2 linked regions of the Ovis aries genome follow. The protein of the gene in region 1 purifies or fractionates together with the protein of each later gene. This does not show direct contact. Links are inferred from orthologs where the notes say so. Each region holds a gene or a part of one and is shown on either strand. Other genes may lie near its edges.

Region 1 (4,509 bases):
TGTTTGCATCTTCCCTAACTAGCAATGCCTATGAAACAGGGACTGGGTTTGGCCTGTCTGTAACCCTGGACATGTAGTGATGTGATGTCTGTCAGGAACTGCACTGTGTGGAAAGGGCACAGGCCCAGCCACACCCCAGAGCCTCAGCCTCCTTGATAGATCACACTGGACAACCCTGATTGTCCTGGACATCCCAGGCCCTCCACCTCTCTGCCTTCCGCCTGGAATGCCCTGACTCCTTGACCTCCCAGATGCCCCTGTTCCATCTGCTGTGGTCCCAGAGTACTTTAGCACCTTCCTCTGTCCCAACCCACCTCCTCATTAGACTGGGGGCTCCTTGAGGGCTGAGCCTATGGGCAGCCTCTGCAAGGCTCTGCTGAGTAGCTAAAGCAAAGGATCTCTTGGCTTGTCAAGGGGTTCTGACGAAGCCCGTGGGACAGGGTGACTTGGACTCACTGTCGGATGGTCTCCATCTGCTCTTTGACGGACATGCCCCCGATGCAGAGGGCGCAGCGCAGGAGTGGCGAGCTGTCTTCCTGCAGCAAGCGGCAGTAGTACTCCAGGATGCCGTGGGTTTGTCGGGCCAGCTCCCGCTGCAGGTACAGGGGCAGCGGCTGGCACCAGAAGGTGGCTCCCTCCCTCGTGTACCCTGCCCTCCAGGCCAGCCTCTCTTACCGAAGGGCAGATAATGAGTCCATAGGGCCCTTCACGCTTAGAGAAAGGTAACCTTTTCTCTTGTTCCAGGCAGAACATGATGACGGGCAAAGTGAACACCAGTGTCTTGCCTGAACCGGTAAAGGCTATGCCTATCATGTCGCGGCCAGAGAGACTGGTGACAGAGAAGAGAGGCCGGAGGGTCAGGCTCAGTGGGAAACAAAGACTCTGCTTCTCACCCAGTGGCTGCTCCTCCCCGGACTGTCAGCTTCACACTCACATGGTGGGAATTCCCTGGATCTGAATGGGTGTTGGGTGGTGGATGCCCTTCTTCTTCAGGCCTCTCAGGATGGCTACAGAAAACAGCCTGGCTTCATTTTTGTGTTTCACAGGATACGAGACACAGCCCCCTAACGCCTGTAAAACTGGCACTATGCCCCTCACGTTACAAATGATGAGACTCAGACAGACAGAAAGACAGACACACAAACTTGCCCAAGGCTTCTAGGCTAAGTGGAGGCAGGATTCACACCCAGTTCTGTTTAAGGCCATCATTACTTGCCCTCCAAAGCTCCCTAATGGCAAAGGTTACGAAGTATGAACAGCTCAATGACTGAAAAAGAAGCATAAAGACGAACTCTTCCTTCTCCTCTGCCTGGACCTGATGCAGCAGCTTCTGGATTTCGGTGGGGGCCCAGGGTGCAACCCCACAGATGTTTCACTATCAAAATGTGGTGTGTTTCATGATCACAATGCGGTACTGCAGACTTCCCTGGGGGTACAGTGGATAAAAATCTGCCTGCTGATGCAGGGGACGCGGGTTTAACCCCTGGTGTGGGAAGATTCCACATGCTGTGGAACTAAAGCCTGCGTGCCACAACTACTGAGCCTGCGTGCCACAAGCAGTGAAGCCTGCACGCCGCACCTTCTGAGCCCGCGTGCTGCAACTACTGAAGCTTGAGTGCCTAGCCTATGCTCCACAAGAAGCCTGTGCACCGCAACAGAGTAGCTCCTGCTAGCTCCAACTAGAGAAAGCCTGTGCGCAGGAACGAAAGACCCAGCACAGCCTGTATGCATATAATGTGCTGGTGCTTCCGGCTCCCAGGTACCTGCAGGAAATTTCATTTCCTTGAAGCTCTTAATGGGAGGTGGGATGCCATCGCCTTCCACCAAGATGTGGTACTTCTTCCGGACACGTTCATGCCGCTCTTCAGACATACTCAGGACATAACGGGGTGGTGTCCAACTGTGGGTGGGTGACAAGGGTCAAGACAGCCCCTGGGCACACCTGGCTTTGGGGTGTCTCTTCCAGTCTCGGCCACCTACCATCCCAAGTAAGAGGAATCAACTGCAGTCAAGAAAGACGTACCTAGTTTTGATTGGATCGTCGTATGTGATTCCCTTAGCCATCTCCTTCACTGACATCAAAGCTGAGGAAACAGATGTGGCTCAAGGCTGGCTCCTGCTTCCCAGAGGCCAGGTCCCTTGAAATGGAACATGCCTAGGGGTGAGGGAGGAGGCTCAGTTCACCTCTTCTCTGCCCTGGCTACAGCCATACCTCGACCTTCGGCCACACTCTCCAGGATCTTCTCCTCTTCCTTCAGCTGCTTCTCTTTGGCAGACTCCTTGCGGGCTGACAAAAGAAGCAGAAGGTGTCAGAGAGACACCAAAGCAGTGCGCCACACTGAGCCTCCGGCCTGCTGCCCAGCCCACCTTCAGCCTTCTCTTTGAGATGCTGGTGCTGATCCAAGAGACTGACGTTGGACTGAGGACCCAACGGGATGTCGTCCTCATCTCCTCGGGGCTCGCTGCCGCTGTCCTGCTGCTCCTCTTCCGCAGCTCCCTTGCGTCTTCGCTGCAGCAGCTTCTGGAGCTGAGGTTCCACCAGTGCCCCTCAGAGCCAAGCCCAACGCAAAGTGCGGCATCGGGCCCGGGGGCCTGCGTCAGGATTCTGGCCTTTGGGAGAGGGTCCTGTGCTCGGAGGCGCAGAGCTGCCCCACTCCTCGGATGAGATTGCCAGTTCCTCGTCTGCCTGGGGACCACGCTCCCGCGTACTGACACCTCACTCCGCGGACCCGGGGCCACCCCCCATCGCATCGCTAAAACCCTATCTCCTGCCCTCACTCTTCTCGCGACCCACGGCCCTCACCAGCATTTGCCGGCGTTGTCGCAACGGCACGTATGGCACGTAGTCCTCGTCGTCCTCATCCTCTGCCTCAGAGCGGCTTCCTGTGGCAGTCGCCTCGTCGGTACGAGCCCGCTGCAGACACAAACGAGTCAGACCCGGACCCCCGGCCTTTACCTTCGCTCTCCACCCGCGCAGACCCCAACCTCTCTCCCACCTTCCGCTCAGGTTCCGATTCCGCCATCCTTTGCTGCACGCATGCGCACCACAGTAAAACCCCGCCCCACCTATATGAGATCCAATCAGATGTAAGGAAGCGGACGTCGACACCTAGCAACGACCTCTGAGTGCCGGATCGCGCAGAAGGACAAATTTTCTCCTGAGCGTCGGTCGCGCGGTGCTGTGTCCCCGCCCACTGTAGGTGGCTACGCAGCTGTTGCCGGGGCTGAGGGCGAAAGCCTCAGGCAAGACATTGTGTGACTCTGCAGGATTTCGAGCACGCGCTGAAAGCTCAAACCGAGCCGGGTAGAAGCGTGGAAACCGCCGTTCCCGAAGAGGGAGGCTTGCCGGCTGCCCAGCCTCGCCCAGGGCGTGACGTCACTCGGCACGCCCCCCCGCTAGTGGACACTGCGCCCTCTCGTGGCCGGGGAGCTCAGAGACCAGGCTAGCTGGAATCCTGACCCGGACTCTATCCAGCCCCTATTAACCCGCACCGGCCAAGGCAGGTAGGGCAGGATGGGGCTTGCAGAATAAGCTGACTGTTGAGAATACTGCTGGTGTTATCTGTGTGAAACACCTATGTTCAGAGTGGCGAGATAAACAAAACGATGGTTGTGGTTTTAAACTGAGGGCCTGTATATGTACGCAAACGATTATTATTGTAAATGCCGTAATAGAGTAACTGGGGAACCAAAGACTTCGAGGAGACCTGGATCTGAAGTTAGAGGGAAGTGAGGAATCTCAGAGCTGCTGGGAGGGCAGGAGAGGGAGAGGCTTCCTGATACAGGGGCTAGCAGGAGTCAAGTTCTGGCCATGCCCAAGTTTCTCAGTGAACAAAGAGATGTGGCCTGTGTAGGGTAGGGTAGTTAAGAGTTAAGGCTGGAAAGGTAGACCCAGAGTGTGCAGGGCTGACTGTCAGGGTAATTTCAACTTTTAAAGAGGATAGGTTAGTGCTGTTCTTCTCTTCCTTTGTATGTTAAGAGTGTGGACTGGACATTGTGCGGTGTGAAAGTGTTAGCCGCTCAGTCATATCCACCTCATTTGCAATATTGCTGGCTGTACCCCTCCATGCTCTTCTGTCCGTGGAATTCTCCAGGCGTGAATACTGGAGTGGGTTGCCATTTTCTTTGGGGAACTTCCGGACCTAGGGACTGAACCCGGGTCTCCTGTATTACAGGCAGATTCTTTACCATATAAGCCACCAGGGAAGCCCAAAGAGATTAGGTGGAGAGATAGATAACTGGTCTTAAGAACTCTCCTAAGACACAAAAAGTACCACTTTTGGAATTAGCATAAAGGCAGGCAATTGGCAACCCATTCCAGTATTCTTGCCTGGAGAATTTCATGGACAGAGGAACCTGTCAGGCTAGTCCATGGAGTCGCAGAGTTGGACACCACTGAGCAACTTACACACACAAAGGGCAAACTGTAAAAAAGTGGCTTCTCAGCTGGAATGTGATGGACTAGGTGGTATTTGTAAGAAAGTGTTATTTCAAAGAGGGAAACAAGTG
Region 2 (4,232 bases), on another chromosome or scaffold:
TTCCTTGTGGGACCTACCTGTTCACATGCCCATCAAGAGTGGGAGCGCACCTTCTCTCCCCCCATTGCTGCTGCTGCTAAGTCGCTTCAGTCATGTGCGATTCTGTGCAGCCCCATAGACGGCAGCCCACCAGGCTCCCCCGTCCCTGGGATTCTCCAGGCAAGAACACTGGAGTGGGTTGCCATTTCCTTCTCCAATGCATGAAAGAGAAAAGTGAAAGTGAAGTCGCTCAGTCGTGTCTGACTCTTAGCGACCCCATGGACTGCGGCCCACCAGGCTCCTCCGTCCATGGGATTTTCCAGGCAAGAGTACTGGAGTGGGGTGCCATTGCCTTCTCCGCTCCCCCTACTAACAGTCACGAAACGTTGACTGCCTGCCAGGCGCTGCTCGGAGAGGGGAGGGACACAGCGGTAAACACATCCGCAAGCCCTGGCCCCCTCAGCGCCGGGTTTTACTCCGACAGCCTCCTGCCTGGTCCTGGGCCTCTAACTCTCAGCTTCCTGCCTTTGCCAGAAGGCTCTGACAGTGCAGGATGAAGCCTTGGCGCCGTATGTTGCACAGGTTCTCTGTTCCTCCAAACGCTAGACTCCACCTTCCTAGCCCCGGTTTCTTCCAAGGAGCCTTCGCACCATTTGTTCCTTCTGCCGGACATGCCCTTCTACTGCAGGCCTCAGCGGCAGGGTCAGCGCCTCGGAGGCGCGTTCCCTTCTGCACACTGTCTTCCACCCTGCCTTCTGCAGCCCGCTCGTTCTGGCTGCACTACCCGCTGCCTTGTCCTCCTGGTACAATTCCGCCGGCACAGAATCTGCGCCTGCAGCATCACCCCTCACGCCATGAGCGGTAACTGCACGAACCCATCCCCGCAACTGCCCTGCTCGCGAAGCCACCACCGCCCTACGGGTGCCCACGGCAAGCCGCCAGAGCGTGCAGCACCTGTGCACCCTTTCTCCAACCCCGCCGCCGGGCCGCCCGGGACCCTCCACGTAGCAGCCGGGTCGGGAGCCCAGCGACCTGGGACGCCACCAGGCCCGCAGCCCGCCCGGTGCGCATGCGCACGGAGAGGGGCGGGCCCGCGGCCGCCTTAACCCTCTCCGCGCCAGCCAGCAAACTGCTCTCACGAAGTAGCCCTCGCAGCCCCAGAGAGCTGCCAGCTTGATGGCCCCACGAGGCGTGCAGCCCGCCCGGGGGAGCCCCGGTCGACCCTCCAGAGTAAGCGCCCCGACGCGTCTCTTCCTAAACAGGCCTTGGCCCTTTAACACTCTCGCTCGCGCCCATTGGCCGAGGGGCTCGACGTCATCGCTGCGCGCCGGACGACCGCTCCTTCCCGCTCCCTAATCCTGACGCCAGAGCCGCGCCGCCCTCTGAGGCTGAGAAGAGCGGGAGGAGGTCGCGGCGGCGGGAAGATGTAAGTACCGGGAATCCGACCCCATCCGAGCTTTGGGACCCGCCCGCCATGTTCGGCGGGGCGCATCGTGGAGCCGGCCTGCTCCTTGGCCACGTGGTGGTGACGGTGGGGCCTGTGGCGTCGCTCCGGGTTTGAGAAGAAAGAATGTGGCCCGGGGCGGGCTGAGTGGGAGGCGCCGAAGCTGCGGCCCGGAAGTGGTCGGGGCCGCGGCGGGCGGAAGGGCGCCCTCGTTTCCTCGGCTCTGCAGCGGGACCAGTGAGGCCCGCGGGATTCGGAGCGGCCGGGAACTCGGCCTCCGCCGTCCGGGCCCTCTCACCGGGCTGGAAACCCAGGCCCGCAACGCCGGGCCCTGCCCTGGAAGCGCCCGCGGCCCGGCTCCTGGACTGGGGAGTTGTGAGTGAACGCGGACGCGGGGTGCTGAGGTCGCGTGCGGGGCCGGGGCCGGGGCCGGTGGGTACGAGATGCGTTTTGGGAGCCCCTGGGTGACCGACTGACCCTCCCTTTGAAGCCATTAATTTCAAACATCGACTCCACGAACGTCTGCGGGGTTCCTGTGTGTCGTTCCCGGTGCTAGCCCTTGGGGATACGGCCCCTAATGTCTTGGAGCCCAGTTTGACGGTAACCCCAAAAGAGAGGATACGGAAAGGTTAAATCGACGGAGCAGAGGCGTGGCCTTTTCCAATCTCTCATGAATTGTGCCTGAAATGTACTTGTAAATGGAGAAGGTGCTCCGAAGATGTGAGCTGAAACGCCATGTACGCGAGATATGACTAATTGTTCTCTCCTATTTTTGGCTGTTGGACGCGCACCTTTCCAGAGGATGGGGGAGGTAACCACGGTCCTGTTACCTGCACTTGTGTAAACATAATCAACCTTTGCTTTCTAGCCCTCTGGCCACACCCAGAAAAGCCTTCCTTTACTCTGGTCTTAATTGAGTTTTAAGAATAAACGCTGGTGCTTGTTTTCACAAACTACAAAGAGCAGATCTTTAGGACTGGGGTGGGGCCCTGGAATATGTATTCTAGGTCAGCTGTGTAATAAGGTAGCCTCTGGCCACACGTGGCTACTGAGTACTTGAAATGTACCTAGTTCAAATTGATGTGTTTAACACGCTTAGCATGGGGAAGCATGGATATTTTATTAATGATTTTGTATGCTGATTGGTGAAAAGATGATGTGTGGGGTGTAGTGTGTCAGATAAATACATTACTCAAAGTTAACTTCATCTGTTAACTAATGCTTTTTTGGAACGTTGCTCCAAGAAAATTTTAGAGTACTCTTGTAGCTGGCTCTCTTTCTATTGGACAGTGCTACTCTTGGTGATCGTAATGGGGGCAGTCCAGGGACCCCTGCTGATCATTCAGAGGCTGTGTGACTTAAGAGCCAAGAGTTTGCCTCAGAAAAGCCTCCAAAGCCTTTCTCCTAATATTAGCTAACATCTGTTGAGCCTTAACTAGGTCCCCAAGACTCTTTTATCGGTTACTTTTGTTTATATTCTTGACAGCTATGAAGTGTAGGAACTGTCTGTCTCTCCTTAATGCTGATGAGAAATTGAGGCTCGGAATGATTAAGGGATTGATACAAAGACACAACAAAGCTTTGAATCAGACCCCAAGCAGGGGAACTTCAGACTCGTAAGCACTGAATTATACTCACTATTTGTCCAAGCAAGCCCGCTACAATGTTGCTTAGTGTTACAGGCACCTTACTGAGTGTCTGTGGTGCCTTTTTTCTTTTTTAATTTTGGCTTATTTTTGTGTGTATGCCCTCTCATTTTAAGACATAATGTCTAAAAAGACTTTATAGCCCTGGAAAAGAACAGTGCACTCTTATTTGTTTGTCCACAGCTGGGCACTCTTTCTTGAGTCAGAAATTTATCCAGCATTTTGGCAGCACTGCGCACATGGAAACAGGATTCCGATTGGTGAGCTGTGTCCAGGTTACTTACAGGAAGGTGAGATAGGAGTAGTTGAGGCTAACATCCCGAGATCTTTGCTTCTACAACTCAAGCAAATTGCGCAAAACCTCACTGGAAATACTTAAAGGCAACAGCCCCAGGAAACAGAGCACATAATGAATTAATAGTTTGTTCTTGAGTAGTGTTTACTGATGACCTTTTACTGAGTACATGCTGCAGCTCTGGAACTTAGCTAAACCCTTACATGTGAATGCATCCATTTCCAAAAATGGGAGCATACAGAAAAGCTGAAAAAATTTAGTGCACCAAATAGTCACAGAACCACCACCTAGATTCTACAGGTTACATTTCTGTTATGTTTTGTCTCACTTTACTACTTTTTAAATGTTCATGGGGGACGTTTCATTTGTTTGGTTATTAAATGTTTTGATACTGGTACCAGTCACTTGAAATGGTTTTTGCTTCCAGTCATAATATCTATCCAATGTATCCTGCAAAGATTCCAGCAGTGAAGCGAGGTCGAATCCTGTCACTTAGGGTTTGCTCTGCCTGCCAATGTGCTCCTGTAGTGTCTCTAAAGGACTGTAGAGGGCTTACCGCAAAACTGGTGAGAAACGGGCATTGTACTACCTGTCAAAGAACAGGACCCCACCACCCACACCATTGCTTAAGAAAAAGACAAGCTGAGCCGACAGTTCTTCACGTGTCTCCTGTGGGGGCAGGATCCCCTGAGGAAATGGACCCTGCCCAAGTGTTCCTGGCTTGGTAGATGCACACTGCTGACTGTGTTCCTTGTTGCCTGCTCCTATGCTCAGCTTTTGACTGCAAAGTAGATTTGTTGCCTTGCCAATTTACTCTGTGAATCCTTTTATCTTGTTATTAGGCTGCACTTTGGCGTAAATTGCAATC

The links.
Region 2: the proteins of DDX41 (region 1) and RNPS1 purify together in Homo sapiens (co-immunoprecipitation; 3 studies listed by BioGRID and IntAct, with this or other methods). This does not show direct contact. The link is inferred for Ovis aries from reciprocal best matches to the Homo sapiens genes DDX41 and RNPS1.

What each region holds. Positions count from the first base shown.
Region 1 is NC_056058.1:36,718,567-36,723,075, forward strand, and holds the start of DDX41 (probable ATP-dependent RNA helicase DDX41), read right to left. Parts: upstream 3,029-4,509; 5' UTR 3,024-3,028; coding exon 2,997-3,023; intron 2,915-2,996; coding exon 2,804-2,914; intron 2,528-2,803; coding exon 2,368-2,527; intron 2,288-2,367; coding exon 2,213-2,287; intron 2,085-2,212; coding exon 2,024-2,084; intron 1,901-2,023; coding exon 1,764-1,900; intron 1,008-1,763; coding exon 935-1,007; intron 830-934; coding exon 676-829; intron 594-675; coding exon 457-593; intron 1-456. UniProt on the Homo sapiens protein: Multifunctional protein that participates in many aspects of cellular RNA metabolism. Plays pivotal roles in innate immune sensing and hematopoietic homeostasis.
Region 2 is NC_056077.1:2,304,551-2,308,782, reverse strand, and holds the start of RNPS1 (RNA-binding protein with serine-rich domain 1), read left to right. Parts: upstream 1-1,345; 5' UTR 1,346-1,403; coding exon of another isoform or gene 1,404-1,405; exon of another isoform or gene 1,406-1,798; intron 1,799-4,206; 5' UTR 4,207-4,232. UniProt on the Homo sapiens protein: Part of pre- and post-splicing multiprotein mRNP complexes. Auxiliary component of the splicing-dependent multiprotein exon junction complex (EJC) deposited at splice junction on mRNAs.